Linked DNA regions of Callithrix jacchus. The protein of the gene in region 4 purifies or fractionates together with the protein of the main gene of each other region. This does not show direct contact. Links are inferred from orthologs where the notes say so. Each region holds a gene or a part of one and is shown on either strand. Other genes may lie near its edges.

Evidence for each region.
Region 1: the proteins of SLC30A4 (region 4) and PDS5A purify together in Homo sapiens (affinity purification with mass spectrometry; 3 studies listed by BioGRID and IntAct, counting the BioPlex papers as one, with this or other methods). This does not show direct contact. The link is inferred for Callithrix jacchus from reciprocal best matches to the Homo sapiens genes SLC30A4 and PDS5A.
Region 2: the proteins of SLC30A4 (region 4) and PDS5B purify together in Homo sapiens (affinity purification with mass spectrometry; 3 studies listed by BioGRID and IntAct, counting the BioPlex papers as one, with this or other methods). This does not show direct contact. The link is inferred for Callithrix jacchus from reciprocal best matches to the Homo sapiens genes SLC30A4 and PDS5B.
Region 3: the proteins of SLC30A4 (region 4) and STX8 purify together in Homo sapiens (co-immunoprecipitation; 3 studies listed by BioGRID and IntAct, with this or other methods). This does not show direct contact. The link is inferred for Callithrix jacchus from reciprocal best matches to the Homo sapiens genes SLC30A4 and STX8.

The regions. Positions count from the first base shown.
Region 1 is NC_133504.1:153,854,617-153,862,317, forward strand, and holds the start of PDS5A (sister chromatid cohesion protein PDS5 homolog A), read left to right. Parts: upstream 1-3,198; 5' UTR 3,199-3,310; coding exon of another isoform or gene 3,311-4,525; coding exon 4,526-4,663; coding exon of another isoform or gene 4,664-4,782; intron 4,783-7,701. Other genes in the region: uncharacterized protein LOC144581690, read right to left, coding at 3,311-4,782. UniProt on the Homo sapiens protein: Probable regulator of sister chromatid cohesion in mitosis which may stabilize cohesin complex association with chromatin. May couple sister chromatid cohesion during mitosis to DNA replication.
Region 2 is NC_133506.1:152,028,433-152,035,479, forward strand, and holds part of PDS5B (sister chromatid cohesion protein PDS5 homolog B), read left to right. Parts: intron 1-1,964; coding exon 1,965-2,404; intron 2,405-2,493; coding exon 2,494-2,604; intron 2,605-5,107; coding exon 5,108-5,246; intron 5,247-7,047. UniProt on the Homo sapiens protein: Regulator of sister chromatid cohesion in mitosis which may stabilize cohesin complex association with chromatin. May couple sister chromatid cohesion during mitosis to DNA replication.
Region 3 is NC_133506.1:76,055,172-76,062,833, forward strand, and holds the start of STX8 (syntaxin-8), read right to left. Parts: upstream 5,161-7,662; 5' UTR 5,149-5,160; coding exon 5,132-5,148; intron 1,339-5,131; coding exon 1,239-1,338; intron 1-1,238. Other genes in the region: CFAP52 (cilia- and flagella-associated protein 52), read left to right, coding at 6,042-6,111. UniProt on the Homo sapiens protein: Vesicle trafficking protein that functions in the early secretory pathway, possibly by mediating retrograde transport from cis-Golgi membranes to the ER.
Region 4 is NC_133509.1:33,028,225-33,035,722, reverse strand, and holds the start of SLC30A4 (putative proton-coupled zinc antiporter SLC30A4), read left to right. Parts: upstream 1-3,047; 5' UTR 3,048-3,204; intron 3,205-3,342; 5' UTR 3,343-3,456; coding exon 3,457-3,847; intron 3,848-7,498. UniProt on the Homo sapiens protein: Probable proton-coupled zinc ion antiporter mediating zinc import from cytoplasm potentially into the endocytic compartment. Controls zinc deposition in milk.

The DNA.
Region 1 (7,701 bases), on a different chromosome or scaffold from region 4:
GGGGTTTCACCATGTTAGCCAGGCTGTTTTGGAACTCCTGACCTCAAATGATCTGTTCACCTCCCCCTCCCAAAGTGCTGAGATTACAGATGTGAGGCCTCTCTTCCCTACTTTATTTTCATATACATCTATTATTGTTATTTTGATCTATCTCTCCTCAAACAAATTAAGGTCCACCAAGAGGGCATGCCTTCATTTGTGAAACAATTATTTAAAGAAGCCTACAGTATAAGGCATTGTTTCTGGCACTGAGAGAGGAAGAAAGCTAGGTGGTGGCCAGGCATGGTAGCTCACACCTGTAATCCAAGCACTTTGGAGGCCAAGGCGGGCGGATCACCTGAGGTCGGGAGTTCAAGACCAGCCTGACCAACATGGTGAAACCCCGCCTTTATTAAAAAACAAAAACAAAAGCTAGGTGGAGGCCCGGTGCAGTGACTCATGCCTGTAATTCCAGCACTTTGGGAGGCTGAGGTGGGTGAATCACCTGAGGTCAGGAGTTCAAGATCAGCCTGGCCAACATGGCGAAACCCTGTCTCTACTAAAAACACAAAAATTAGGCCAGGCGTGGTGGCTCATGCCTATAATCCCAGCACTTTGGGAGGCCACGATGGGCGGATCACATTAGGTCAGGAGTTTGAGATCAGCCTGACCAAAATGGTGATACCCTGACTCTATTAAAAAAAAAAAATTAAAAAATTAGCCAGACATAGTCGCGGGTGCCTATAATCCCAGCTACTCGGGAGGCTGAGGCGGGAGAATTGCTTGAACCCGGAAGGCAGTGGTTGTAGTGAGCCAAGATCATGCCACCACACTCCAGCCTGGGCGACAGAAGGAGACTCTGTCTCAAAAAAAAAAAAAAAAAAAAAAAAGCCGGGTATGGTGGCACACCTGTAGTCCCAGCTACTTGGGAGGCTGAGGCACAAGAATTGCTTGAGCCTGCAATGCCAAAGCTGTAGTGAACCGAGATCACAGCACCGCACTCCAGCCTTGGTGACAGTGAGACTTCATCTCAACAAATAATAAAGTAACGTAAAAAATAAATAATAAAATCTATGATATACAAAACTCCATTTAATAATAAGCAAGCTATTGCAGAGAATGAAAAATAAAATCATTGCTTTTTAGTTATTTAAACACAACACATAAGAAACATCAAAATTGATAGGGAGAGACTAAAAAGAGAGCTACTTTTTGGTCCACCTAACAGTTTGGAAGAGGACAATTTAAAATGGATTCTGCCTGGTACTGTAAATGCCCAAGAACAAAGCACTGACTTTTTGGCAAAGTTCTAGCAAATCAGAAACCGTGGAGTGTCAGATTCTCAATGACTGCTCCCTCGTGTAATACCTCAAAAACAAGTCAGTGAGCTGCAGTACCTTTACTATTTTTTTTTTTTTTTTTTGAGACGGAGTTTCGCTCTTGTTACCCAGGCTGGAGTGCAATGGCGCGATCTCGGCTCACCGCAACCTCCGCCTCCTGGGTTCAGGCAATTCTCCTGCCTCAGCCTCCCCAGTAGCTGGGATTACAGGCACGCGCCACTACCTTTACTATTTTTAAACTGACTTAAAAGATGTAAGAAAAAAATAGACCAGGAGAAGCATCCCAGCAACCCAACCACGGCCAGTCTTCCCTGGACACCATGAACCACACGGTCCAAACCTTCTTCACACCCGCCAGCACCAGCCGTCCCCGGAACTATGAGATGCTGAAGGAGGAACATGAGGTGGCTGCGCTGGGGGCGCCCCACAACCCCGCGCCCCCAACATCCACCGTGATCCACATCCGAAGCGAGACCTCTGTGCCCGACCACGTCGTCTGGTCCCTGTTCAACACCCTCTTCATGAACTCCTGCTGCCTGGGCTTCATAGCGTTCGCCTACTCCGTGAAGTCTAGGGACAGGAAGATGGTTGGCGACCTGACCGGGGCCCAGGCCTACTCCTCCACCGCCAAGTGCCTGAACATCTGGGCCCTGATTTTGGGTATCATCACGACCATTCTGCTGATCATCATCCCAATACTGATTCTGCAAGCCTATCAGATCAGAGGAATCATCCCGGCCAGGGGCTCTGCCGGTGACCTGTCTCCCATGTACTCCAGCTTCCATTCCTCGCCCTGCCCCCAGCCGACCCTGTATCAGCCTTTTAACCTCACACACTTTTCCACAGTTGTGTTCAATAAAGTGCACATGTTCCTGGAAAAAAAAAGAAAAAGAAAAAATAGACCAATGGGTATCCATCAAGAATAATTTGAATAAACAGTCAAATATCATTTTAAACTATGGTAGTGGTCAGTTTCATATTATTGTATCCTTTTCGGAAATTTTGTGTATCCTTTTAATTTTTAAAAAAAATAATTGTATGTTCTTGCGTTTGTTTCAATTATATACATTAAATTGCTTAAACACTGCTGTGTGCACTGTTTTTAACTGATAGTTGTTTTCCTTTGGATGCCAGAAAACGTTAATGCTTGGTAAGTTTAAAACACTAAAAAAAAAAAATGAGTTCTTTCTTATTGAGAAGCACCCACCTAATTAGTAAATGCTTATTTCTGCGTTCCACTCTCAGAGATCCTTTTTTTTTTTTTTTAATGTTTGAAGTTGGAGACGTACGTTTTCAGCCAGTACCCAAAGTGATTGTGAGGCCTGGTGGCCCAAAGACATACCTTGAGAACGACTCGAAGCAATGCTATTTTCATGTTTTGCAGCTTTCAAAATGCTAACTTCAGAAATCGAAGGAGGGTGGGTAACTCGAAAGACTGTCAGAATACCCGAGAGTGAGCCGCTCACGCAGTGCCGGGTTGCACAACTTTCCTTTACTTTGCAGATCTCTCCCTGGGGCGGAAATCATTTCATTTTCACCAAGCAATTAACCATCTTCCAACCAGTTCCGTCTACGTCCCTCATGATGACCCCCAAAAGTCACCAGCTCATCCCCGCGGCGGAAGATAAAGCGCTGTTTGCCCTGCGTGCCCTCGCAGGGTCGCGGGGCCGCGGGAACCTGGGTTCGCTTCCCGCCACCCGGGCTCCTCCTCTCCAGGCCCTGTCGGGTCGGGTCCTCCCCGAGGCGCCCAGCGCGGCAGGTCTTGGCGCCAACCGGGTGGCGGCGCTGTCCGCCCTGCGCGCGGCCGCTTCGGGCCCGAGGGAGGCGGATGCACGGCCGGCGGAGGAAGGGGAGGGAGCGAGGAGCGCGCACTGCTCTCGCGTGCTCTCGCGCCACTCGCGTGACCGGCCGGTGTGTGCGCGAGGCGCCGGCTCCCGGGGCACGGACTGCCGGGCGCGCGCCACTGCGAGGGGCGTCCGGGTCCGAGTCGGCTACCCGGGCCGGCGCGAGGTGCGGGCGGGCGGGCTGCGGGGGTCCCGAGCGGACACACGCACACAGGCTCCCGGAGGAGCCTTCTCGGAGGCTGCTCTTCCTCGGCCAGACGGAGAGCGGCACTGTCTCCCCGCCCAGCGCTCACTCGCCCCGCGTCTCCCCCCGCGGCGGCTGCTCCTCGGCACCGCCAGCCCCAGCGCCGCTCCCGGGCGGGCGGGTGGCGGCGGCGGGACCCGCGGAGCCGCTTTGTGTGCAACCCGACGAGGGGCGGCGGCGCAACCACCTGACAGAGGCCCGGGCGCTCGATGCACCTTCCGCCCGCATGAGGAGGAGGTAAAGGCGGCGGCGGCGGCTCGGCTCCCGCCCTCGGCTGCTGGAGGGAGGGGACGGAAGGAGAGACAGAGGGGGGGCCGTGGGTCCGAGGCCCGGTGGGGCCGCCCGGGGGTGCGGGGAAGGCCTCGGCGGTGCCGGCGGCGCCAAGCGGCAGGGAGCCAGAGAAGCCGTTGGGGTCCCTCAGCCGAAGTTGAAGGAACAAAATGTGAAGTGCGGAGCCGCGTCAGCCGCTTCCTGGCGTGGGGCTGGGGGTGGAGGGCGGCTTGTTTTCCCCTCCCGCGGGGGTGAGGGAGCGGAACCGAGGAGGGGCGGCAGCGCGGCGGGGACTGCCCGGAGTCCGAGGCTCGGCTGGGCAAGGGCGTTTTGTTCCCGGGAGCCGCCACTGCGCGTGGGTCCGCTCGGTCCCTAGTTTTGCGGCCTAAGCCGAGCCCTATAGGCCTCGCGTCTGCTTTCCTGGAGAGGACTAGTCGGGCGGGACTCGGCGCTTCCCTCCAGCCAAGTGGGGGCCTTGGGGTCCTTATCAACCTCCTGAGGCCGCCAAACTTCGGACCTTGGTGCTCGGGGGTGGATTTCATTGTGAAAGGGGGAAAGGTAAACTCCTGGCGCTGTTCGCTGTCTCCCGCGGCCGCGGCGGCTGGTACCGGGAAGCCCAGTGAGCCCCGGGCTGGCTGGGCCGGCGCTGGCGGGGTCCGAGCCCCGGGAAAAAGCGGGTGGTGGGGCCGCTGCCGGGTCCCCGGCCTCCGGGGAGAAAGAGCCTTTTCCAGATTAGAGAGATTTGAAATGAAAAAAGAGGTTAGAAAGTCGCCCCTTTCCCGCTGAACTTTGGTTTTCTGACCGATAGAGGCCGGTAGAGGACTGTGAACGAAAAGTTGTCCCCCAGGATGGACTTCACCGCGCAGCCCAAGCCTGCCACTGCCCTCTGTGGCGTCGTGAGTGCCGACGGGAAGATCGCTTACCCTCCGGGTGTAAAAGAGATCACCGACAAGATCACCACGGACGAGATGATCAAACGCCTGAAGGTAAGCGTCTGGACGGATTGTTCGCTCTCTGGATGTCTTGGTAGCAGGTGCTTTTTCCTGTGATATGGCTACTCTGCTCGGTCTGGCCTTTAGAGTTCCAAGTTTTTTAGATGTCTTACCTCCTCAGAAAGGTATTGTATCACTACTACGTCTTTGAGTAAGTTTTCTAGTGACATAACCATTGTGAGAAATTTTAAAAGAGTGTGATTTAAAAGAAAAAAGTACTGGTTTTCAAGCATAAGAATTTGTGTGTTTTTCGTTTTTTTCTGGAGATATTTAATGAGAATACTGTTCAGAGTGGCTTGCAAACCTAAATGTAGGCAGGAATTTGCCTAAGAAGTTTCCTAGTTTCAGCCTGTGAGGGGGATTGATTAAAGCACAAAGTCCTTTTTAAAAATTGGCATAATTTTCTAATATCCAGAAGCTTAAATATGTATATAGTGTGGTTAAACTTTGACAGTAGGTACAGACTTCTCAAAATTGAGGTTTAAAGTTAGATGTTTTAAATCTATACGTTCAAAGGAGTTTAAGAGTATTACGGCTCTTTTTATGAGGCGTCAGCTAATTTTGTTTAAGCATGGCAGTCCGAAGGTTAAGGTTTTAAATTTCAACCTTATGTTGGTTAGTTTTTTTGGTTTCTGTGTCACTGACATAGATCGTGGCCAGAATCTTACCAAATAAGTGATATTCTTGTAGGATCAGCTTGAAGCAGTGGTTTTCAGTCAGGGCAACTTTGACCTCCAGGAGATATTTGGCAATGGTGGAGACATTTTGGTTGTCATAATTGGTGCTAGATTGGAGTAGGGAATGATTTGAGTAAGAATAGACCAGAGGCAGTGAGTCCAGCTAGGAAACTAAACAGTAGTCTGGGTGAAAGACATTGAAATCTTTAGGCAGGGCTTTGGCATTGGTAATAGTGACTAGGAAATGATTTAACAGACTTTTCAGAGTTAGAATCAATCAGAATTGGTGGGAGGTAAGGGAAGGAATATTGTCAATGTTTCCACCTTGGGCAACTTGGCAAAATGTATTTTAGGGAATAATTTTGCCCTCTTGCTCTTGGAGCCCAGTAAATATATCTAATGTTGCATTTTAATGAGTATAGTATTTAAAATATTCCTACGGTTTAGCTTTCAAAACTAAGTTGCTTCTACAATTTGCCTTTTGGAAGGAATAAGACAACAGTTCCTTTCATTAAAACAAATATTTTTATTTTTATTTTTTAATCGAAACAGGGTTTCACCATGTTGGCCAGGCTGGTTTCTTTTCTTTTTTTTAAAGACGAGGTTTCACCATGTTGGTCAGGCTGGTCTTGAACTCCCGACCTCAGGTGATCCGCCCCCCTTGGCCTCCAAAGTGCTTGAATTACAGGCATGAGCCACCACACCCAGCCCAGTTTTTTTGTTTGTTTGTTTGTTTGTTTGTTTGTGAGGGCGGGTTGGATCTCTGTCCCTCAGGCTGGAGTGCAATGGTGTGATTTCAGCTCACTACAACCTCAGCCTCGGGATTCAAGTGATTCTCCTGCCTGAGCCTCCCAAGTAGCTGGGACTACTGGTGTATGCCACTATGCCTGGCTAATTTTTTTTTGTATTTTTTCTTTTACTTTTTTTGAGATGGAATTTTTGCTCTTGTTGCCTAGGCTGGAGTGCAGTGACGGAATCTCCACTCACTGCAACCTCCGCCTCCCAGGTTCGAGCGATTTTCCTGCGTCAGCCTCCTGAGTAGCTGGGATTACAAGCATGTGCCACCACACCTGGCTAATTTCTCCATGTTTAGTCAGTTTGGTCTTGAACCCCTGACCTCAGGTGATCTGCCTGCCTCAGCCTCCCAAAGTGCTGGGATTACTGGCATGAACCCGGCCATATATGTTTTCTTTTTAATAAGGCAGAATTTCACTGTGTCTGTCAGTTCGTTTCTAACTCCTGATCTCAAATGATCCACCTGCCTCACCTTCCAAAGTGCTGGGATTACAGGTGTGAGCTGCTGCTCCTGACCCCTTTCACTAAAATAAGTCTTGGCCTGGTGTGGTGACTTGCGCCTATAATCCCAGCACTTTGGGAGGCTAAGGTGGGCGGATCACCAGGTCAGGAGATCGAGACCAGCCTGACCAACATGGAGAAACCCTGTCTCTACTGAAAATGCAAAATTAGCCAGGCATGGTGGCACATGCCTGTAATCCCAGCTACTCGGGAGGCTGAGACAGGATAATCACTTGAAGCTGAGAGGCGAAGGTTGCGGTGAGCCGAGATCACGCCACTGCACTCCAGCCTGGCGACTCTGTCTCAAAAAAAAAAAAAAAAAAAAAAATCCTGTGCCGGGTGCATTGGCTCATGGGCAGATCACCTGAGATTGGGAGTTTGAGACCAGTCTGACTAATGTGGAGAAACCTCATCTCTACTAAAAACACCAAATTAGGTGGGTATAGTGGCACATAAATCCCAGCTACTCAGGAGGCTGAGACAGGAGAATCGCTTGAACCTGGGAGGCGGAGGTTGTGATCAGCTGAGATTGTGCCATTGCGCTCCAGCCTGGGCAACAAGAGCAAACCTCTGTCTTGAAAAAGAAAAAAAAAAAACACAAAACAAATCTTAATACTAAAGATTATACATGAATTGGGGTGCTTGATGGATGCCTCTAGAAGTTACACTAAGTTATGAAATATAAAACTTAAACAATTTGTGGATCTTTAATTTTTATCAAGTTTTCAAATTAGGAATATTGAAACCTTGAATTCTAGTGGTGGATAATCTGGTTAAAAAGTGGAAAGTTGTGGCTGGGTGCAGTGGCTCACATATGTAATTTCAGCACTTTGAGGGCTGGGGCAGGAGGATCATTTGAGCCCAGGAGGTTCAGACCTGGGCAACATAGTGAGACCCTGTCTCAGTTTTATTTTTTTAAGGTGTGGTGGGGAAGTTATGACTACTTATATACATTTTCTGTTTGAAAACATTATCAGAAGTACTGTTAACGATAAATGGACATACAATCCAATCGAGAATGATTATCCATTTGTTGAGTTCTTTTGGAAGTTAAAATTA
Region 2 (7,047 bases), on a different chromosome or scaffold from region 4:
ATGTTTGACCAATTGTTATTTTTGTAATCTTAGAAAAATAAAAGAAGCCATTGAAAATCTATCCCTATGTGTATATATTTATGTTTATAACTAAGATTACTCTGATAATTTTGCTTTGTATCAGATGTACATTTAGGGGAAAAGGGACTATTTTTTTCATTACAAGAACCACTGCAACAACAGACTTAGGTAGATTAATAGATTCATAGATTTAAATATAACCTTAACAAGAAATAGGGAGGAACTGTATGTAGAAAATCTCAAAACTGAGATAGGGAGGACCTGTATGTAGAAAATCTCAAAACTGGAAGACTTGAAGAAAGAGAAGACAGGCCACGTTCCTGTAGGGGTAAAAAGGAATAAAAAAGGATGACAGTTTTTTTCAAGTGAATATATAATTGTAAAATTCCAGTGTGATTTTGTTTCAAGTCTATATGGAGGAATAAACAGATATAAAAGGAGGAAAAATAAAGGTAAGATCAGCCCTACTAGACACATAGTTATACTTAGTAAAAGATCATGCTTCTATTATAATAGCCTACAAATAGTTTGCTTTTTCAAAACATACAAAATAAAGGAAGCATTACAAATCAACGATTCTGAAATGGTTGGATGTGTCTTTGGTAGTGGAGAATCTAGTTTAGAATCTCATCTCACATTCTATTCTAGAACAATATACAATAATGTCTTAGTCAGCTCAGGCTGCCATTATAAAATACCACAGACTGGGTAGCTTAAACAACAGATATGCATTTTCTTAGCATTCTGGAGCCTAGAAGTACAAGATCAAGGTGCCAGCAGATTTGATTCCTGATGAGGGCTCTCTTCCTTGGTTACAGATGCCTCCTTCTCACTGTGTTCTCACAGGGGAGTTGGGGGTGAGGGGAAGAAGAAAGGCAGCCAAGCTCTCTGATGTTTCTTCTTATAAGGACACTAATCTCATCATGATGGTTCCACCCTGGTGTCATCCAAATACCTCTCAAAGGTCCCATCTCCAAATACTGTCACATTGGGATTAGAGCTTCAACATACAATTTTTTTCTGGTGGTGATGGCCACAATTCAGTCCATAGCAAATAAGTAACACTTAAAGGCCAGGCACAGTGATGTCTGTAATCCCAGCACCTTGGGAGGTCAAGGCAGGTAGATTACCCGAGGTCAGGAGTTTGAGACCAGCCTGGCCAACATGGTGAAACCCGTCTCTGCTAAAAATACAAAAATTCGCTGGGTGTGGTGGCACGCGCCTGTAGTCCTGGCTACTCAGGAGGCTGAGGCAGGAGAATGCTTGAACCCAGGGGAGATGAAGGTTTGCAGTGAGCTGAGATTGCACCACTGCACTCCAGCCTGGGTGACAGAGCGAGACTCCATCTCAAATAGTAGTAGTAATAATAATAATGAAGCAACACTTAAAAATAAGCATAGAAGCATACACAAAAGCATAGATGAATATAGAGAAAACCCACTAACACTCCAGTAATCAAAGCCGGCAAAGGACACAATACCGAGGATGTAATTAGACAGTTCACACACAGGAAACTCAATTTAAAGTTAGAAAAAGTTACAGATAATTCGATAGTTTTTGTTTTTCTTTTCAATGATTTTTGAAAATACAAATTGCTACAGACTTTTTGGAAATTAACTTTGTATCATGAGTGTTCAAACATAAAATTTATTCTTGGGTCTTTGGAGAATTTCTTCAGTCTTCATGCTGGTTCACACATAAATTATCTGAGTATAGACTAAGATTTTACTTTAAATGTGAAAGCCGCTGTATTTTTGTTGTTTCTGTTGTTAATCAGTTAGTTATAATTAAAATAGTTATAGTTTTGATGTATTTAAGAGCTGTATACTTGAGGTACATGTTTAGGACAACAATAGATACCAGATTTTTTTTGTTGTTTCATTCCTCAAAATATGTATACTCACAGCTTCGTAACCATAAATTGTGACTTTTTTCCCCCCTAGTCTGAATTGGAGAAACCTAGAAGCAGGAAGAAAACACCCGTCACAGAACAGGAGGAGAAATTAGGTATGGATGACTTGACTAAGTTGGTACAGGAACAGAAACCTAAAGGCAATCAGCGAGGTCGGAAAAGAGGCCATACGGCTTCAGAATCTGATGAACAGCAGTGGTCTGAGGAAAAGAGGCTCAAAGAAGATATATTAGAAAATGAGGATGAACAGAATAGTCCACCAAAAAAGGGTAAGAGAGGCCGACCACCAAAACCTCTTGGTGGAGGAACACCAAAAGAAGAGCCAACAATGAAAACTTCTAAAAAAGGAAGCAAAAAAAAATCTGGACCTCCAGCAGCAGAGGAGGAAGAAGAAGAAGAAAGACAAAGTGGAAATATGGAACAGAAGTCCAAAAGCAAACAGCACCGAGCGTCAAGGAGAGCACAGCAGAGGTAAGCATATGTAACTCTAAACTGTATCTATTTCATTACTATATTATAAATCATAATTTGATGCTATCCACATTTGGGTCTTCCCAAAGCAGAGCAGAATCTCCTGAATCTAGTGCAATTGAATCCACACAATCCACACCACAGAAAGGACGAGGAAGACCATCAAAAACGCCATCACCATCACAACCAAAAAAAAATGTGTAAGTTGTAAATGTTAAATTTCAAACCAATTTCAAATTATTTTGCAAAAGTTCCTTAAGCTATAAACATACATACTGCTGTATTTAAATTCCATGTATTTAGCCCCATTACACTAGGTAAGATAACATTTTTATAAACTTACCTTGGTGATTGATAGCCCAATGAACTATTTTGTACATTTTTATAGGTGTAGGCAAATCTTTATAAATGAATAACAAATAGTTTATTATTTCCTTACAGACTTGATGATATCTAAAGAAATAAGGCATTTTTTAAAAAATCACCACACATTGACCAGGTTGTCCCGTCATTCCACGCTACAGTTTTTAAAAATTGTTTCTCGTTAGCACCTTTTCCTTTGAAAAAAGAAAACAGGTCTTGCACTTCTGCTTTTGTTTTTTGAACTTGTAGTAGGAAAATAACAGGTACCATTTTTCCTAAACTATGTCCGTAGAAATTATCACATGTTGGTCCCCGGTGTTGGTCTCAAGTATTTGACATGTTGGTCTCAAGGTTTTGTTTGTTTTCTAATCGAATTCATTTATCTATATCAACATATATATAGTTTCAGATGTTCACACAAATACAATTATAAGAGAGGTATAGTAACAATCTGTACCCCAAATTTTAAGGTCAGAAGAGAAATCGGCACTGTAATTTGTAGATTTGACAGCATTTTTTCTCCTTAGTTATGTCTTCTCTTTGTCATACAAAATTTAGCATACTTTTTCTGAGCGTATTCCCACCGATACATAATTACATCAGTGGCCTGACTTTTCAGAGTTACCAACATACTGTCCTTAAATACTCAATTATCTTAGAGATTTTCCTATTCCTGTGTATTCCACAGGAAGAGGAAAAGTTGCCTGGGTGTCTAGCCAGTACTTCATGCCATCTTCCATGTAATTTTTCTGTCAGGTTAAAAGTAAAGGTAAGTACATTTTTGGGGCAGCTTTATAAATATGTTTGGATTCAACCAAAGGAAATCACTATTTCTAAACAAAAGATTCTTAAATCCTTTATTTAATAAAATATACATGATGTAACAATGAAATAACCTCATAACTTTAGTTTGTTTATATTCGAACATGATAAAATTCAGGGTTTAAATGATTGTGTTCTCCTAAAATTACACAAATCCTCCTATGAAAGTTCTAAACCAAACAAGTATTTCTTTAAAAAAAAAAAACAAAAACAAAAATCAGTACAGAAGAAGATTCTGAAGTCTGTCTTGGAAGCCTATCTTCCTTTCACTGGTAAGCTCTTTTTAGAGCTAGTATGATAACATATATTAGGATTTGTCTCTTTATCTTATTCTGACCTCAATGAAATTCAAAAGGATTGTCATTATTTTTCATGTAATTTCTATAGTTTCATTAATGCTGAAAAAGCAAACCAAGTAAAAAAAAATTGTTTGGTTTGAGCATGAGTTAAATAATACATATTTTGGATTGCTTATCGAAGTGATGTTATGTTTCTAATTTAAAAATAAATATTTATCAAGAGGTATCCATTTGACTCAATGGTTCTATTACATATTTTTGATGCCTCCTGTGTTTCAGAGAGTAGTAGGTGCTAGGGACACAAAACAGACATGGTTCTTGTCTTCCACTGTCTAATGGAATGAGGAAGTAACTCCAAACAACTTCAAAGAGTTGTTACTTTTTGAAAGTAACAATGAATTGATATCTTGAGAATAGTAGGGGTCAGACAGGAAGAGAAGAGGTGGCAAGAACACTGTATTTGAAGTTTCTGAAGTGAGAAAAGTCTTGGCAAAATCAGAAGCTAAAGGAAGGCAAGGGTTTGCTGGATTGTAGTTGTGGGGAGTTAGGGACCCGAAAGGGATGAGAATGAACAGGTAGGCAAGGACCATCTACTGGTCCTTGTATACTGTGTTAAGGAGGTTTACAAGATTATTCTCAGCTCAAGGGGGAGCTCTGTAGTGGTAGTAAAAGTAAAATTTTACTTTTAAAAGATAACTTTGTAAAGTACAAGATAAGTATTCTTGTACTTTTAAAAGATAACTTTGTAAAGAGAAGATGTAAGAGATGGGAATGGTTTGAATTAGGTGGTAGCAATGGAGATATGGAGAGAAGTGAATCGATTTGAGCTCACTTTAAGAATCTGTAAGGCCAGACAAAGACTGGTACACGATATTCAAAGCAGAATTCCTTTCTGCTTTGAGCAGCTCATAAGACATTGATGCCTTTTACTGCCTTAGGAAAGATAGAAAGGAAAAGCAACTTTGAGTTATGTTTTGCATTCCTTTATGGGAAGGACTCAGTTACAATTTTTATTGTTGTTACTTGGTTGATAATTTGTAAAATTCTATGATTAAACATTGGTTTAGGATTCAGAATATTAAAGAAATTTTCTTGTCTCGTAAGGTAATTGAGGGTAAACATGATGACAGTTAATGAAATACTTGAAGCATTTCTTCTAACGAGGTAATCTACTGAAAGATTGGAACATTCATTGTATTTTATGTGTGTTTTACTCTAGCCGTGTAGGACGCTCCAAACAAGCAGCTACTAAGGAAAATGATTCAAGTGAAGAAGTAGATGTGTTTCAGGGTAGCTCTCCTGTCAATGATGATATTCCACAGGAAGAAACAGAGGAAGAGGAAATTTCCACAGTAAATGTATGTGTTCAAAGTCTCTGTGAGTGATGTGGAATATAAAACTAGAGTTGGGCTCACACCTGTGATCCCAGCATTTTGGGAGGCTGAGGCGGTCGGATCACCTGAGGCCAGAAGTTCGAGACCAGTCTGGCTAGCATGGTGAAACCCCATCTTTACTAAGAATACAAAAAATAGCCAGGCATAGTGGTGTGTGCCTGTAATCCGAGCTACCTAGGAGGCTGGGACAGGAGAAAGGCTGGAACCCGGCAGGCAGAGGCTGCAGTGAGCCGAGATTGTGTCACTGCACTCTAGCTTGGGTGACAGAGCAAGACTCCACCTCAAAAAAAAAAAAAAGCACAAAACTTTTTTTTTGAGTTGGTAAATATTTGGTTAGATCATTTAGTACTTGTTGTTTGTTATAATTGTAAGTATTTGTATATTTTTCTTCATTAATTTATAGCATTGTTTTATCTACCAGCTTGCATAATGGAGAAAATCTTTTATGGAAACCTGAAACTAATTGAATAGGTGTAGCTTAGTGAGAATGTAAATGTTAAGTATGAACTGAATGTAGAGCATTCTAATATTGACACTTTAAACATTTAAGTTGTACCTTGATTTTAGGGTACTGATACCTGTTAAGTATACTGTTGTTTATATTTCGCAACTGTGTTCGGTATTTCTATTTGGGTTTCATAATAGGAATTACAAGTTAGTTACACAGAATAAAATCAGCCTTTGGAATTGAAGTATGAGCTGAATGAGAATCCGTAAAATTGGTAATACATACTTACTTTGCAAAAGTAGGGATGTGTTACTTCCTTACTTTTTTTAAAAAAGTTTTTGTTTTTGAGACAGAGTCTCACTCTGTCACCAGGCTGGAGTGCAGTGGTGAGCGATCTGTTCTCACTGCAACCTCCACCTCCCACGTTCAAGCAGTTCTCCTGCCTCAGCCTCCGAGTAGCTGGGATTACAGGCCATTGCCACCACATCTGGCTAATTTTTGTATTTTTAGTAGAGACAGAGTCTTAAGATGTTGGTCAGGCTTGAACTCCTGACCTCAGGTGATCTGCCTGCTGGACCTCCCAAAGTGCAGGCATGAACCACTGCACCCGGCCCTTCCTGACATTTAAAATAATAAACAAATAAATAAATAAATTTACCAGTTAATACAACTCAGATAGTTCTCTTAGGAAAAAATATAATACATTTAAGTAGGAGCTCTTCTTTTGATGTACTAATGCTGAACTTTTAGATCTGCTCAGCCAGCCATCTTTGTTTGAGAAACCCAAGCTCTGTAATTAAGTCTCAGAATTGGTCTCTGCTGTTCTGTCCTATTTAATGGAATCAGAACTCTTGGCTGTCTCAGGATTCATTTTTGTGAATGAGTAAATTAACACAGGAAAAAATGCCCAATTGTGGTCTCAAATTAGTTTGGCTTGTTTCTTTAAGGGTTTTAGGGGGACATTAAAGTAAGGCTGAAGAGTTAATGATTGATGTCTTCATCAGAAAAAAACTACAAAGTAAATCAAAACCCTGTCTTTTTTATATTCTTGTTAATATTGACATTTTTTCATCTAAAGTCTTGTGCTTTCATTAGTGCTTGCCAGTTAGTATGTTTGAAATTTAGGTTATTTTACCGTATTGATAGTTGGTTGAGATCCAAACTCAGTAACTACTTTTCCAGAAAGATATTGTAAGTTCATAAATCTGAAATGTTTTCATTTACCACATGAAATATAAGTAGAAAGATGATTAATATGCTTGCAGTTATTTTTCTTGCTGTGGACATTGACTTCTGTTCATTTCTCTTTAAAATTAT
Region 3 (7,662 bases), on a different chromosome or scaffold from region 4:
AACATACTGATGCTTTTGGAAACTAAGATTCTCACTGTGAGAGAAAGAAAATATAAACTGGGAATGGGGAAAATAAGGAAGAAAGGTGTGGTGTTAGATTTGAATCAGAGGCTTATATTTTTAATCATAATCACAAGTATAAACTTGTGATTTCACAAAAATCTATTTCCTAGCCAAATCCCACCACTGTTTTTATATAGCCCATAACTAAAGATGGTTTTTACATTTTTTTTTTTTTTTTGAGACAGGGTGTTGCTCTGTTGCCCAGGCTGGAGTGTTGTGGTGTGACCTCAGCTCACTGCAGCCTCCATCTTCTGGGTTCAAGTGATTCTCATGCCTCAGCCTCCTGAGTAGCTGGGATTATAGGTGTGTGCCACCACGCCCTGTAAAAAAAGGGCACCCTGTAAAAAAAGCTAAGTTTTGTATTTTTAGTAGAGACAGGGTTTCACCATGTTGTCCAGGCTCGTCTCGAATTCCTGACCTCAAGTGATCTACCCACCTCAGTTTCCCAAAGTGTTGGGATTACAGGAGTGAGCCACCACACCCCATCTGTTTTTACATTTTTAATGTAAAATGTAAACTTATAACTTTCCTTGTGGTGATAATAGAAACTCAAAGACTTGAAGACATTGTCTCTTGGCCTGCAAAGACTAAAAGATTGATTATGTAGAGGAAGTTTACTAACCCTTGAACTAGACTATAAAATAGAAATGTTTGGCCGGACGCAGTGGCCCACACCTGTAATCCCAGCACTTCAGGAGGCCAAGGCAGGCAGATCACCTGAAGTCAGGAATTCAAGACCAGGCTGACCAAAATAGTGAAACCTCATCTCTACTAAAAATACAAAAAATTAGCCAGGTGTGGTGGCAGGCACCTGTAATCCCAGCTATTTGAGAGGCTGAGGCAGGAGAATCGCTTGAACCTAGGAGGCAGAGGTTGCAGTGAGCTGAGATTGCACCATTGCACTCCAGCCTGGGCAACAGTGCAAGTCTCAAAAAAAAAAAAAGAAATGTTTACGGTAAAACAGGAGAACTTAAATATGTTATGTTTCATTTAGTCTCAATGATTACATAACTATTAACTGGTTGGCTGTTATGTCCATTCAACACATGTAAGCAGATAGATCATTATACACACATGTGCACGGAGAGCCTCAAAGAAAGATAGGAGGGTTGTTTGAGTTTTCAGATCTCAAAACTCAAACAAATCATTGTTTACTAATTCCCTCCTGGCATTACCTTTGGTGTCTTTTCACCTTTTCTTTCATACTGATTCCGTTGTTGAATTTTCTCAGCAATTTCTTGGGCAATTTGACAAGTAGAATCATATGTGGAGAACCTGCACCAAAGTCACAAAAAGAGAAAATGTTTAAGGTTATTTTTTTGTTTTTCTTTTTGTTTTCATAAGGAGTGTGGCTCTGTGGCCCAGGCTGGAGTGCAGTGGCGCAATCTTGGCTCACTGCAACCTCCATCTCCTGGGTTCAAGTGATTCTCCTGCCTCAACTTCTTGAGTAGCTGGGACTGCAGGCATGAGCCACCATGCCTGGCTAATTTTTGTATTTTTAGTAGAGACGTGGTTTCACCATATTGGTCAGGCTGGTCTATTTAAGATTCTTTAAAAGAAATTTTTGCATTGTCTACAAACAAAAGGGGAGAACAATAGCATTACCAGTAAAAGCAACATGGACTGAGTGGTATTTACTATGTGCCAGGCACTATTCTGAAGGCTTCATTAGTAATAACTCACTTAACCTAAACAGGAACACTACGAAGTGGGTGCCATTACTATCTCCATCTCATACAGGAGAAAATGAGGCACAGAGGCAGAGTGACTTGCCCAAGTGGTACTACCCGCTGCAAACCAAGGCTGTCTGACCCCAGAGCTGGGGCTCTTAACAACTGTCATTCTGCCAATGATAAAGCATTTGGGGGCCTCTGCTGTACTGGGCAGTGGAGAAGAGAGCAGTGAACAGAATGAACACAGTCCCTGCTTTCACCGAGCTCATATTTTGGGGAAAGAAACTCATAAAACAAATACTATGACAGGTGTTGACAGGTGCTAAGAAGAAAAATGCAGCAGGACAAAGGGACAGAGAGTGATGAGGAGCTATTTAGAATCAGGTAACACTGAGGCAAGGTGAAGAAACTGGCCTCAGAGACGCCTGGGGGACAGCTCTAGGTCAATACAGACCTTAAGTCTGATAAGAAACATTTACAATCTATTCTCCCTAAAGCCTGCTACCCAGAGGCTTCATTTGCATAATAAAACCTTGGTCTCCACAACCCCTTCTGATAACCCAGACATTCCTTTCTATTAGTAATAACTCAACCAATTGCCAATCAGAACATTTTTAAATCTACTTACGACCTGGAAGCCCCCTAACCCCCTTTGAGGTATCCTGCCCTTCTGGATCGAGCCATCATAAATCTTACATGTATTAATTCATGTATTATTCTCCCTAAATTGTATAAAAGCAAGCCCCAACCACCTTGGGCACATGTCTTCAGGACCTCCTGAGGTTGTGTCTCCAGTGCATCCTTAACCTTGACAAAATAAACTTTCTAAATTGATTGAGACCTGTCTCAGATACTTTGCAAGGGTCTTAAAAATGTTCATAACCCCCAGGTGCAGTGGTTCACACCTGTAATCCCAGCACTTTAGGAGGCCAAGGTGGGTGCATCACCTGAGGTCAGGAGTTTGAGATCAGCCTGGCCAACATGGTGAAACCCCGTCTCTACTAAAAATATAAATATTAGCTGGGTTTGGTGGTGAGCACCTGTAATCGCAGCTACTTGGGAAGCTGAAGCAAGAATCGCCTCAACCTGGGAGGTGGAGGTTGCAGGGAGCAGAGATCACGCCATTGCACTTCAGCCTGGGCAACAAGAGCAAAACTCTTGGCAACAGAATTTTTTTCTCTCAAAAAAAGTTCATACCCTTGAACCCAATAGTTCTATTTCACTTTCAACGGTGTAATGAGAAATCCAGTTAGTCAAACTAATTGAGAATAACAAAAAAAGGATAAATGCTTTCACTTTCAACAGTTCTAATTCCTTCTTCGAGGCAAGGAGCCCAAGGAAATAAGAGATGGAACAAAGGGACTGCCTTTGAGATGAAAAAAAAAAAACAAAACATCAAAAAAACAAAACTAATACTAGGAGAAAAATAAATAATGGTCATTCATGTGATGCACTATTATACAACATAAAAAAATTATGTTTTCGCCGGGCGCGGTAGCTTACACCTGTAATCCCAGCACTTTGGGAGGCCGAGGCGGGTGGATCACGAGGTCAAGAGATCAAGACCATCCTGGTCAACATGGTGAAACCCCATCTCTACTAAAAGTACAAAAAATTAGCCGGGCATGGTGGTGCGTGCCTGTAATCCCAGCTACTCAGGAGGCTGAGGCAGGAGAATTGCCTGAACCCAGGAGGCAGAGGTTGCGGTGAGCCGAGATCGCGCCATTGCACTCCAGCCTGGGTAACATGAGCAAAACTCTGTCTCAAAAAAAAAAAATTATGTTTTCAAAGAATGTTCAATTACATAGAGAAATGCTGTTGTATTTTATATATATATATATATACAAATATACACACACACACATATAATACAAATTAAAGTAACAAGTTCATTGTTTAAAAAAAATCAGTAATGGGCCAGGTGTTGTGGCTCACGCCTGTAATCCCAGCACTAAGAGAGGCTGAGTTGGGTGGATCACGAGGTCAGGAGTTTGAGAACAGCCAGGCCAACATTTTGAAACCTGTCTCTACTAAAAATGCAAAAATTAGACAACATGGTAGTTCACACCTGTAGTCCCAGCTACTCGGGAAGTTGGGATAGGAGAAACGCTTGAACCTGAGAGGCAGAGGTTGCAGTGAGGCAAGACTGTGCCACTGCACTCCAGTCTGGGTGACAGCAAGACTTCGTCTCAAAAAATAATAAAATAAAATAAAAAAGGATATGGCTGGGCACGGTGGCTCATGCCTGTAATCCCAGCACTTTGGGAGGCCAAGACGGTTGGATCAGAAGGTCAGGAGATCAAGACCATCCTGGCTAACATGGTGAAACCCCTTCTCTACTTTAAAAAAAAAAAAAAAATCAATAATGGCTATTTCCAAATTATAGAGTTAAAGATGCTATTTATTTTCCTCTTTGCAAATTTTCAATATTCTGTAAATTGAATACTCTCTATCAAGTGGTGTATATAACTGTTAAAATTAGGTTCAAAAAATCAATGTTAAATAAATGGCCCAAATAACCTAGATTCCAGGTAACTCAGCTTTGTTCTTGGAATCCATTCTTCTAATACCGAGGCTGTCGGCAACTTAAATTATCAACTATATTAGAAATAACAATATAAGACATATATTCCAACAAGAGCGTTATGGAGCTGTAATATGTTTTTAATTATTAAGCAGAAAGGTCAAGTCTATTATGCTATAACGGGATGTTCCTTGGGATCAAAACTTGCATCTTTCATCATGCAGTCCTTGCGATTAATTGCTAAATAAATGACCCTATCACCTACTATTTTACTGCAGACGCTACTGCTAAAAGAAAATTCTTCAGGGTATTAACTCAAGAAAGTGTAAAATGCCTTATAAACAAGTGCACGATTTCCCTCCCAGATTCCTGTAAGTATCTGGAAGGGCCCCCAAGATCTAGGTCTTAGTCCCAACTGGTTACTAATTGGCTGGTGACCATGGACTCCGAACCTCGGTTTCTCCACCTGCGAAATAAGGGGGTTCACCGGATGGACGGGCACGCTACAAAAAGGTTATTTTGACTTCACTTTTATAGGAGTCCAGGGAAGCCTGAACCGGCCAGCTCCACAACCAAGATGGGCGGGAAATCCCCGCGGCGAGATGCAGCCCAGAAAAGCTAGAGGAATATTTAGAGATTTGGCTCAAGTCCTCAGCTCTCCAGCGGACCACCCGTTCTCCTTCCCGGGCCACCCTGGCAAGGACCAAGGGTGGCGGGAAGTGGCTGAGCCCCCTCAGTAGAGGAAGGGTCTCGTTGCCTCTCCCTTCACCCGAAATCCCTCCAACGGGCGCGCGAAGTGATCGCCTGCTCCCCGGAAGCCCGGCCTCCCCGAAGGTCCCTCAGCGCACCGCCGCCTTCACCCGGGGCTCACCAGGGGTCCGGTGCCATAATGCAGACTCCGCCCGCCGCTCGGATTCTTCCTGCTCTTAGCAGCTGACTACGGCGGCCCGCGCGGCTCACTCCCCGCAGTTCGTCCCGTACGCGACCGGAGCCCGGAGTTTGCCAAGTGAATAACTAGGGCCTTAGAACCACGATCAGAGAAAGGGAAGTGCTTCCCTGGGGACAGCAGGTTGGAGCAATCTAATCACACCAAGAGATGCGAACTGCTGAGCTCAGTTAAAATTGTGAACAGAAACTAAGCATTTTCCCAGGAAGGTGGGAGCGCTGTAAGACCTCTCTCTCTTAACAGTTACTTAAAAATTCATCCTGCTTCCAAAACAAAACAACAAACAAAAAACTAGATTGCGGTGAGACTTGCACCCTATATAAACTTATTACAACCTACCTTAACTTTCTGATCTGTACATTATACCTCAATAACGCTTTTTTAAAAATCTTTAACATTTTTTTCACGCAGCTTCAAACAGGGGCCCAAAGAAGTATCAATTACATATTATTTTATAGCAGCCATCCCATCAGTCCTTTACGCTTGATTACTTATTTTTTAAATGCCATTCATTTGGTGCTTGATTTTAGAGTTACCAGGAAGTCACAGACTCTTTGCACGAGGGGATGGAGGAATTAGTTCTGTGCAGTCAGTGCCATCCCCTAAATTTCCAGAGAAATAGCACACACAGAAAAGAAGAAGAATCATCTCAACCCCATCCCTCCTCCCAGCCCCAATACCCCTTATTTCCAAGAATGCTAATGAACTCAAACTCGGCAGGGTGGGTTACTGCGCGGGCGTGGAACTGGCGCGCATGCGCTCGCCCGTTACCATAACGACCAGGAGACGCTACACTTATCCGGTCGGAGAGCAAAATAAGCAGAACCTCCCAGAGATGGATAACAAAATTTCGCCGGAGGCTCAAGTGGCGGAGCTGGAACTTGACGCCGTGATCGGCTTCAATGGTGAGGCTTCCAGCATCTCTAGGCTGGCTGGTTTAGGAACTCGGAGGACGCATAGTGCAAGCAGGAACAGTGAGACAACGAGGACATCTGAAAAGCAGTGTGGGACAACGGCAGGAGCCCTGGACAGGGACAAGCACAGGAGGACCCACACAGCCCGCCCCGCCCCAAGGCCTTGGAGAGTCACTTCCTCGCTCCGAGCCTCAGGGAGTGTGGGGTGGTTTTTACCAGCTCGGACAAGCGCAGGCACCTAAAAGGGACCTCATGCCTCCTCCCCAGGAGGGACGGATGAGTAAGGGTGGTTGGAACCCTTCTCCCGCTAGGTCTGCCATTCCTGGCTCTGAGCCCCACGCTGCTCTCAAAGCCCTAGGCCCCCCTACAGAAAGATGCTGTCTGTGTCGGCCCCTGGGACTAGCTAGGAAATCTGCTAAAATCCCGGAGGGCGTACCAGCAAGAAAGCGCTGGGTGTTTGAGCAACCCCCTAAGGGGATGATCTAGGTTCTCTAAAATCTTAAGGAAGGTTTCTAAATGGTGAGGATTTCAGACCAGGACAGCAAGGGAAGGGGACGCCAGGGGGAGCTGAAGGGGAAGAGACGAAGGGTCTAGGTCGCTCTGCTGAAATCTTATTTGTGACTGCCTGTTGTTTTGAACATTCAGGGAAGAAAAAGCTGCTGTGGGGTTTTGTTGCTAGTTTTGAGAGGTTTTGGTTTTCTGAGGGATGAGAAAACAATGAATGAGATTTTAGGAGAAGCAAAACTTTTTTTAAAATGTGCGTTGTGATGCCTGAAAGCGTTAAGAATGTGGATGCAGAACAATCACTGTCTAAAGTTTTAAGCATACTCTAGGACTTAGCTCTTGAATCGGTTTTACTTTAACCGTCTCCGATAGAAAGTGAGCGCTTTACCGGGCACGGTGACTTAACGCCTGTAATCCCAGCACTTTGGGAGCGGGCAGATCACGAGGTCAGGAGTTTGAGACCAGCCTGACCAACATGGTGAAATCCCATCTCTACTGGAAATACAAAAATTAGCTCGGCCTTGTGGCACGTGCCTGTAATTCCAGCTAGTTGGAAGGCTGAGACAGGAGAATCACTTGAATCTGGTAGGCAGAGGTTGCAGTGAGCCGAGATTGGGCCACTGCACTCCAGCCTAGGCCAGCGAGGCTCAGCTGAAAGAAAGAAAGAGAGAAAGAGAGAGAGAGAAAAAGAGAAAGAAAGAAAGAAAGAAAGAAAGAAAGAAAGAAAGAAAGAAAGAAAGAAAGAAAGAAAGAAAGAAAGAGCGCTTTATACATTTCGGATATCAGATATCCTGAGAGCCGATTACAAGATCATTGAGAAAGAATTGAGCATCACTTATTGAGTCAATGTAGGACCACACACACAGAGAACTCTGCAACTGAATTCATGCTGTGGTTGCAGAGTTCTAAGTGCAAATACAGGGTAAATTATATGCCAATGTCTTCCATGGCAATTACTAATTATCTTTGCCTTTTAGAATGACCCCATATGATCAAATTGTTGTTACCTTGGTGGCTTTATATTAATGTATATTCTTT
Region 4 (7,498 bases):
CACTTGCCACCTCATCTGGCTAATTTTAGTAATTTTAGTAGAGACAGGGTTGCACCATGTTGGTCAGACTGGTCTCAAACTCCTGACCTCAGGTGATCCACCTGCCTTGGCCTCCCAAAGTGCTGGGATTACAGGCATGAGCCACTGCGCCCAGTGCTATGCATTTTTTTTAGCCAGGTTGTGGATGCAAACAAAAAGTTCTTTTTGTTTAGATTTTTTTTTTTTGTCTGTTTGTTTTAAACCTTTATGGTTTGACTCTGGAAAATGGAAAAGTTATTGAAGGAAATTAGAAAGGCCCAGACCAGCCTAGGCAACATAGTGAGACCCTGTCTGTATTTAAAAAATAAATAAATAATTTTTTTTTAACCAAAAAAAGAAAAATTTGAAGCTAGCAGAGGTTGGTTCTTGAGGTTTAAGAAAAGAAGCGATCTCCATAACATAAAAATGCAAGGTGAAACAGCAAATGCTGATGGGGAAACTGCAAGTTGTCCACAAGGTCTAGCTAAGATAATTAATAGTAACTACACGGGGAAACCGCCTTCTATTGGAAGACGATGCCACCTAGGGCTTTCATAGTTAGAGAGAAGCTGATCCCTGGCTTCAAAGCTTCAAAGGACGATCTTACTATCTCGTTAGAGGCTAAATGCCGCCAGCAGCTTTACATTAAAGCCAATGCTCATTTACCATTCTGAAAATTCTAGGGCCCTTAAGAATTATGCTAAATCTACTCTACCTGTGCTCTATAAATGGAACAAAACCTGGGTGACAGCATATCTGTTTACTACAGCATGGTTTACTGAATACTTAAGCCTACTGAGACCTACTATCCAGAAGAAAAAAAGATTCCTTTCAAGATATTACTGCTCATTGACAATGTCCCCGGTCAACCAAGAGCTCTGCTGAAGATGTACCAGGAAATTAATGTTTTCATGCTTGCTAACGTAACATCCATTTTGCTGCCCATGGAACGTGAAATCATTTTGACTTTCAAGTCTTATTATTTAAGAAATACATTTCAGCCAGGTGCAATGGCTCACCCCTGTAATCCCAGCACTTTGGAAGGCCAAGGCAGGTGGATCACCTGAAGTCAGGAGTTCGAGACCAGCCTGGCCAACACGGTGAAACCCAGTCTCTACTAAAAATACACAAAATTAGCCGGGTGTGGTGGTGGGTGCCTGTAATCCCAGCTACTTGGGAGGCTGAGGCAGGAGAATCACTTGAACCCGGTAGGCAGAGGTTGCAGTGAGCCAAGATCATGCCATGGTACTCCAACCTGGGCAACCAGAGCAAAACTCCATCTCAAAAAATAAAAATAAAAACAAAAACAAAAGAAGAAATACATTTTATAAGGTGATAGCTGCCATTGATTCCTCTGATGGACCCAGGCAAAGTAAATTGAAAAAGTTCTGGAAAAGATTCATTATTCCAGATGCCATTAAGAACATTCATGATTCATGGGGAGTCAAAATATCAACATTAACAAGATTTTGGACAAAGTGGATTCTAACCCTAATAGATGACTTTGAGGGATTCAAGACTTCTATGGAGGAAGTAACTGCAGATACAGTGGAAATATCAAGAGAACTAGAAGTGGAGCCTGAAGATGTGACTGAATTGCTGCAATCTCATAAAATTTGAACAGATGAGGAGTTGCTTCTCATAGATGACCAAAGAAAGTGGTTTCTTGAGATACAATCTACTCTTTGTGAAGATGCTGTGAACACTGTTGAAATGACAACAAAGGATTTAGAATATTCCATAAACTTAGTTGATAAAGCAGAGGCAGAGTTTGAGAAATCTGGATTGACTCCAATTTTGAAAGGTCCACTGTGGGTAAAATATTATCTATCAGCATCACATGCCATCAAGAACTCTTTCATGAAAACAGAAGTCAATCAATGTACCAAATGCCATTGTTGTCTTATTTTAAGGAATTGCCACAGCCACCCCAACCTTCAGCAGCCACCATTCAGATCAGACAGCAGCCATCAACATGGAGCAAAAACTCTCTACTAGCAAAGAATATGACTTTCTAAAGGCCTAGATGATTGTTAGCATGTTTTAGCAGTCAAGTATTTTATTTACTTGTTTGTTTTAAAGACAGGGTCTCACTCTGTCTCCAGGCTGGGGTGCAGAGGCATAATCACAGCTCACTGTCATCTCGACCTTCTGGGCTCAAGTGACCCTCCTGCCTCAGAGCAATAACAAATGTACATATACTTTTTCCTCCCTCTCTCCCAATATTATCAATTAAGGTATGCACATTGTTTTAGACATAACATTACACACTTACTACATTATAAACGATTGTATGTGCACTGGGACATGAAATATTTGTGAGACCTCACTTTATTGCCATATTGCGGTGTTCTGGAACCAAGTTCGCAATTATCTCTGAGGTATGCCTGTAGCAGATTTTCTGTGCTTGGGTTTAGTCCACATCGTAAATACCTTGAAGGCAAAAGGAACAGGGCAGAGAACACAGAGGACAATACATATTTGCTGAAAAACAGTACAACTGCTGACGACCACAGCCTTGCCTTCTCCAGTTGACTGTGCAGCAAATGTTGCCAATTTGCCAGAGGCAAGCAACTCGAAGAGAGAAAAGCTGCCTCTCCAGTTGACAAGAAAAGTACTGGGTTTGTCTTCTGCGGAGCACCAGCAACCCAGATCCCGACCGAGATTCCTGAGACCCACTTTTGGTGGAGGGAACTCCTAGCAGCAACGCCCAGCCCCCGGCGTGACCCTCCGACCGCACTTGCCTCCCAGGTTGAAGGGGTGGAAGGGGCCGCCCGGAGTCCCCTCAGTTCGTCAGTAAGTGCCCCCTGGGCGGAAGCGGAGCAGAGGCCCCTAAGTCAGGCTCGAGGCGAGGGGCGGGGCACGGCGGGCCTTACGCCCCCGCCCCTCGCCGGCGCCCCAGCCCTGCGCGCCGGGCCTGCGTGTCCTCGCGCCGACCCCTCCCTCGCGCTCCTCGGCGGGCGCACGCGCGTGGCCTCGCGCTGGGCGGGGAGAGGCGGTGGCTCTGGGCGTCCCGCCCCGAACCTGTCAGACCCGGGTAGCCTGCCTCCAGCTGCGGGCGCGGCGGGCGCGATAAGCGCGAGCACGACCCGGCTCTCCCCCGGCCCGAGTGGAGAAGCGCGAGCGGGCCTCGCCTAGCCGGCCGGGGGCGGGGAAATGAGCTGTAGCCCCGCGGCAGCGCCCCAGGTATTAAATAGATGCGCCGCCCCCTCGCGGAGCCCCGGCGAAGCCTCGGGGCCGACCTTGCGACCCGCCGCTCGCGGCTTCGGAACTTGAGGACAGGGCTGGGCGCCTTTAATTTATAACGTGTTTCATTTTCCACAGGATGGGGAGGGACGCGCGGCACTGCCGTCGAGAACTGGCACTCCGGTGAAGTAGGCGCCGCCGGCCGTCCGCCTCCCGCCAGCCGTTCTGCGCCGCGGCCGCTCAGCCTCTGCCATGGCCGGCTCTGGCGCGTGGAAGCGCCTCAAATCTCTGCTGAGGAAGGATGACGCGCCGCTGTTTTTAAATGACACCAGCGCCTTTGACTTCTCGGATGAGGCGGGGGACGAGGGGCTTTCTCGGTTCAACAAACTTCGAGTTGTGGTGGCCGATGATGGTTCCGAAGCCCCGGAAAGGCCTGTTAACGGGGCGCACCGGACCCTCCAGGCCGACGATGATTCCTTACTGGACCAGGACCTACCTTTGACCAACAGTCAGCTGAGTTTGAAGGTGGACTCCTGTGACAACTGCAGCAAACAGAGAGAGATACTGAAGCAGAGAAAGGTGAAAACCAGGTTGACCATTGCTGCGGTTCTTTACTTGCTTTTCATGATTGGAGAACTTGTAGGTGAGTTGTGTTGCCAACTCACCCCTTTTACCTTTCCTCGAGAGTCTTTGTCAGCTGTAGTTACACAGGCTTTGCGGTTTAAACCATCTTTTCAGGAAGTTTGTATTTACGAAGACACTGATCTCATGTGAAAAGGCCACACGGTTCCAAAGTGCAGCTCAATCTAAGTACAACATAAACACCCCGAGATAACTTTTTTTTTGTTACTACTCCCGAGATAACTTTGACTTTGTCTTCTAGTTCTTCAAACACTGTCACCTACTGTAAAGTTAAGGACGTTATCTTCATTATATGTCACATAACTTCCTCTTTTTACAAAATTCTGATAAAATACCAGGTTAATTTTTGCAGCGTTTAAAATAGTAAATGATGGTAAATTACTTAGGATCATAGAATTTTACAGTATGAAGGGACCTTACTGAACACCTGTTCTCCACCTCCTCTTTTTTTTTTTTTTTTTTTTCCTTTTACATGTAAGGATTTCCAGGGCACAAACAGGTGAAATAAGTTGTGAGGGCCATCTAATGGAAGAGCCGCATCTACAGTCCCAGCATTTTTTCCTCTACATTTGACCTAAGTGGTTTCTCTTATACTATTTCCTTTTGTGTTTATAGCCAAGAGTTTTGCAAAATTAATTACCAACTAACATGAAATTTTTTCATTATAAGGAGGGCCTGAAATGAACCATGGGACTCCGCCATAGTTCTATAAGCCTGGTTTTCTTTTTCATTTTTTAATTATATTAAACACTCCATTTTCAATATAAGATACACTCAGTTTAGAGGTTATTTTCAGTCACATCAGTATAACTACTAACTTCTCAGTGACATTTACAAAGTGACATTAAAAGGAGGTGATTCTCCCATGTTATCTCTTAATGATGAACCATGAAAAAAACAGATGGCAGTCCAGATTTAAGATGCTTGACTAGACAGTTCTATGTAGGAAAAATTATATACATTTCCTACCTCATTTCATAACATTTCTCCCCAGGTTCACTTCAGCCATGCAGGCCTTTTTCCTCCTACAACTCACAAAGCTCTTTTTGCCCCTAGGTCATTCAAAGTAGCTGGTCCCTCTATCTCAGGGGCTTTCAGACATTTTTTGACCTCACTATAGTAAGAAATACACTTCACATTGTGACTCAGGTAGGCATGCATGCACACATATGTATGTGAATACACACAGGTCACATGTATAAATATACATAAAACTGAAACAAAATTTTTCCTTCATGTGATGTATCCTAATAGTTTTTCAATTGTGGTCCCAGCTTACTAACTGTATTTCATGGTTTACTGCAGTAGGTCAGGGCCTGTAGTTTGGAAAACACTGCTTTACATAGACTGCCTTTCCCAAATCTTTTCTTCGCCAATTTTTTGTCATTTGGTGTCTTATTTTAAAAGACACCCTGGCTGGGCATGGTGGCTCACACCTGCAATTCCAGCACTTTGGGAGGCTGATGTGGGTGGATCACCTGAGGTCAGTAGTTCAATACCAGCCTGGCCAACACGGTGAAACCTTGTCTCTACTAAAAAAAAAAAAATATATATATATATATATATATACACACACACACACACACACACATACATATATATATATATATATATACAAAAAAAAATTAGCTGAGGGTGGTGGCAGGTGCCTGTAATCCCAGCTACCCAGGAGGCTGAGACAGAGAATCCCTTGAACCGGGAGGTGGAGGTTGCAGTGAGCCGAGATTGTGCCATTGCAGACCAGCCTGGCAACAAGGGTGAAGCTCCATCACAAAGAAAAAAAAAAAAAGAAAGAAAACAACCACAACAAAATATTCAGAATGTTACACGGAATTAAATTGTATATAATAGAGCATTTATTAAAGTGTGTTCAAAGCGCTTACAAATAAAGCATCTTCAACCTCACTTGAGGTTAGGAGGAAAGCAGTCTGGCCAATGTGGTAAAACCCTGTCTCAACTAAAAATACAAAAAGTAGCCAGTGTGGTGGCATGCTCCTGTAGTCTCAGCTACTGGGGAGGCTGAGATGTGATAATTGCTTGAACCTGTGAGGTAGAGGTTGCAGTGAACCAAAATCATTCCACTGCACTCCAGCCTGGGTGACAGAGTATGACTCTGTCTCAAAAAAAGGAAAGAAAGAAAAATAAAGCATCTTACGTAGGAAGTATGGAATAATAAAAAATGAAGCAATTTGGCCGGGCACAATGATTCACACCTGTAATCCTGGCACATTTGGGAGGCCAAGGTGGGCGGATCACTTGAGGTCAGGAGTTCAAGAGCAGCCTGGCCAACATGGTGAAACCCCGTCTCTGCTAAAAATACAAAAATTACCCTGAAATTGCTTGAACCCAGGAGACAGAGGTTGCAGTGAGCTGAGATCGTGCCACTGCACTCCAACCTGGGCAACAGAGTGAGATTACATCTAAAAAAAAAAAAAAAGGAGCAGTTTGGCCAGGTGTAGGAAGTATCTTATGTAGGAAGTATAGAATAATAAAAAATGAAGCAATGTGGCTGGGCGCAGTGGCTCATGCCTGTAATACCAGCACTTTGGGAGACCGAGGATTGCTTGAGCTCAGGAGTTCAAGACCAGCTTGGGGAACATGGCGAAACTCTCTCTTTACCAAAAATAGAAAACCTTAGCCTGGCATGGTGGTATGTGTCTGTGGTCCTAGCTCCTCTGGAGGCTGAGGTGGCAGGATTGGTTGAGCCCAGGGGGCAGAGGTTGCGGTGAGCAGAGATCTGGCTACTGCACTCCACCCTGGGTGAGTGTGAGACTCTGTCTCAAAAAGAAGGGGGAAAAAATGAAGCAATTTAAAGATCTGAGATACACTTGGTTGGCTTTGCCACTTAACTTGCTCTGAGACCTTGGTCAAGATCCATTCTTTCCTTCTCTTTGGAAGTATATTTTGAATACTTACACTATGTGCCCCATGTTCTGAATATACAGTGGACAAAAAACTATTATGATCCCTACTATCTGGTGAATTTAATCCAATGGAAGAGACAGACATTAAACGTGTAAGTAAATTTAAAATTTAGATGGTCCCAAGTGTTAGGAAGAAAAAGAAAAAGGTAGTATAAGACATAGTAACCAGTAGGACATAGTTTATCAATGGACCAGGTATATTTAAGCCAAAAAAAAAGAATAGTAGGAGTTACCCAAACAGAGTGAGGGAGTTTTCTGAGAGAAGACAACAGCATGTACCAAGGTCCTAAAGTCTTCAATTCTTCAAAAGGAATTAGAAAGAAGGCCAGTTTGGCTTCAGTGTGTAACCATGAGGGAAGAGTTAGGAGGAAGAGATCAGGCAGGTCCTGGTAGGGAATGTTAAATGAGTGTAGTTTCATTTTAAGTGCAATGGAAACCAGTTAAAGGTTTTAAGCAGGAGAGTAACAAAATGGGATTTACCTTTTTGAAAGATTACTCTGGCTGTTATATGAAGAATGGATCGGAGGGCATTTCTTGGAAGCAAGAATATGAGTCTGTGGTTAGAAGAGAGGTCAAGGTGGAGAGAGATACATATATAATGCCATAGGAATGGGTAAAATTACCTGGAGAACCCAAGTCCCGAGGAACTCCAACGTTAGAAGTCAGGCTGAGGGAAAAAGGTGTTCCAAAAAAAATTCTAAAGGGTATTTCAAAGTGGAAATAAACAG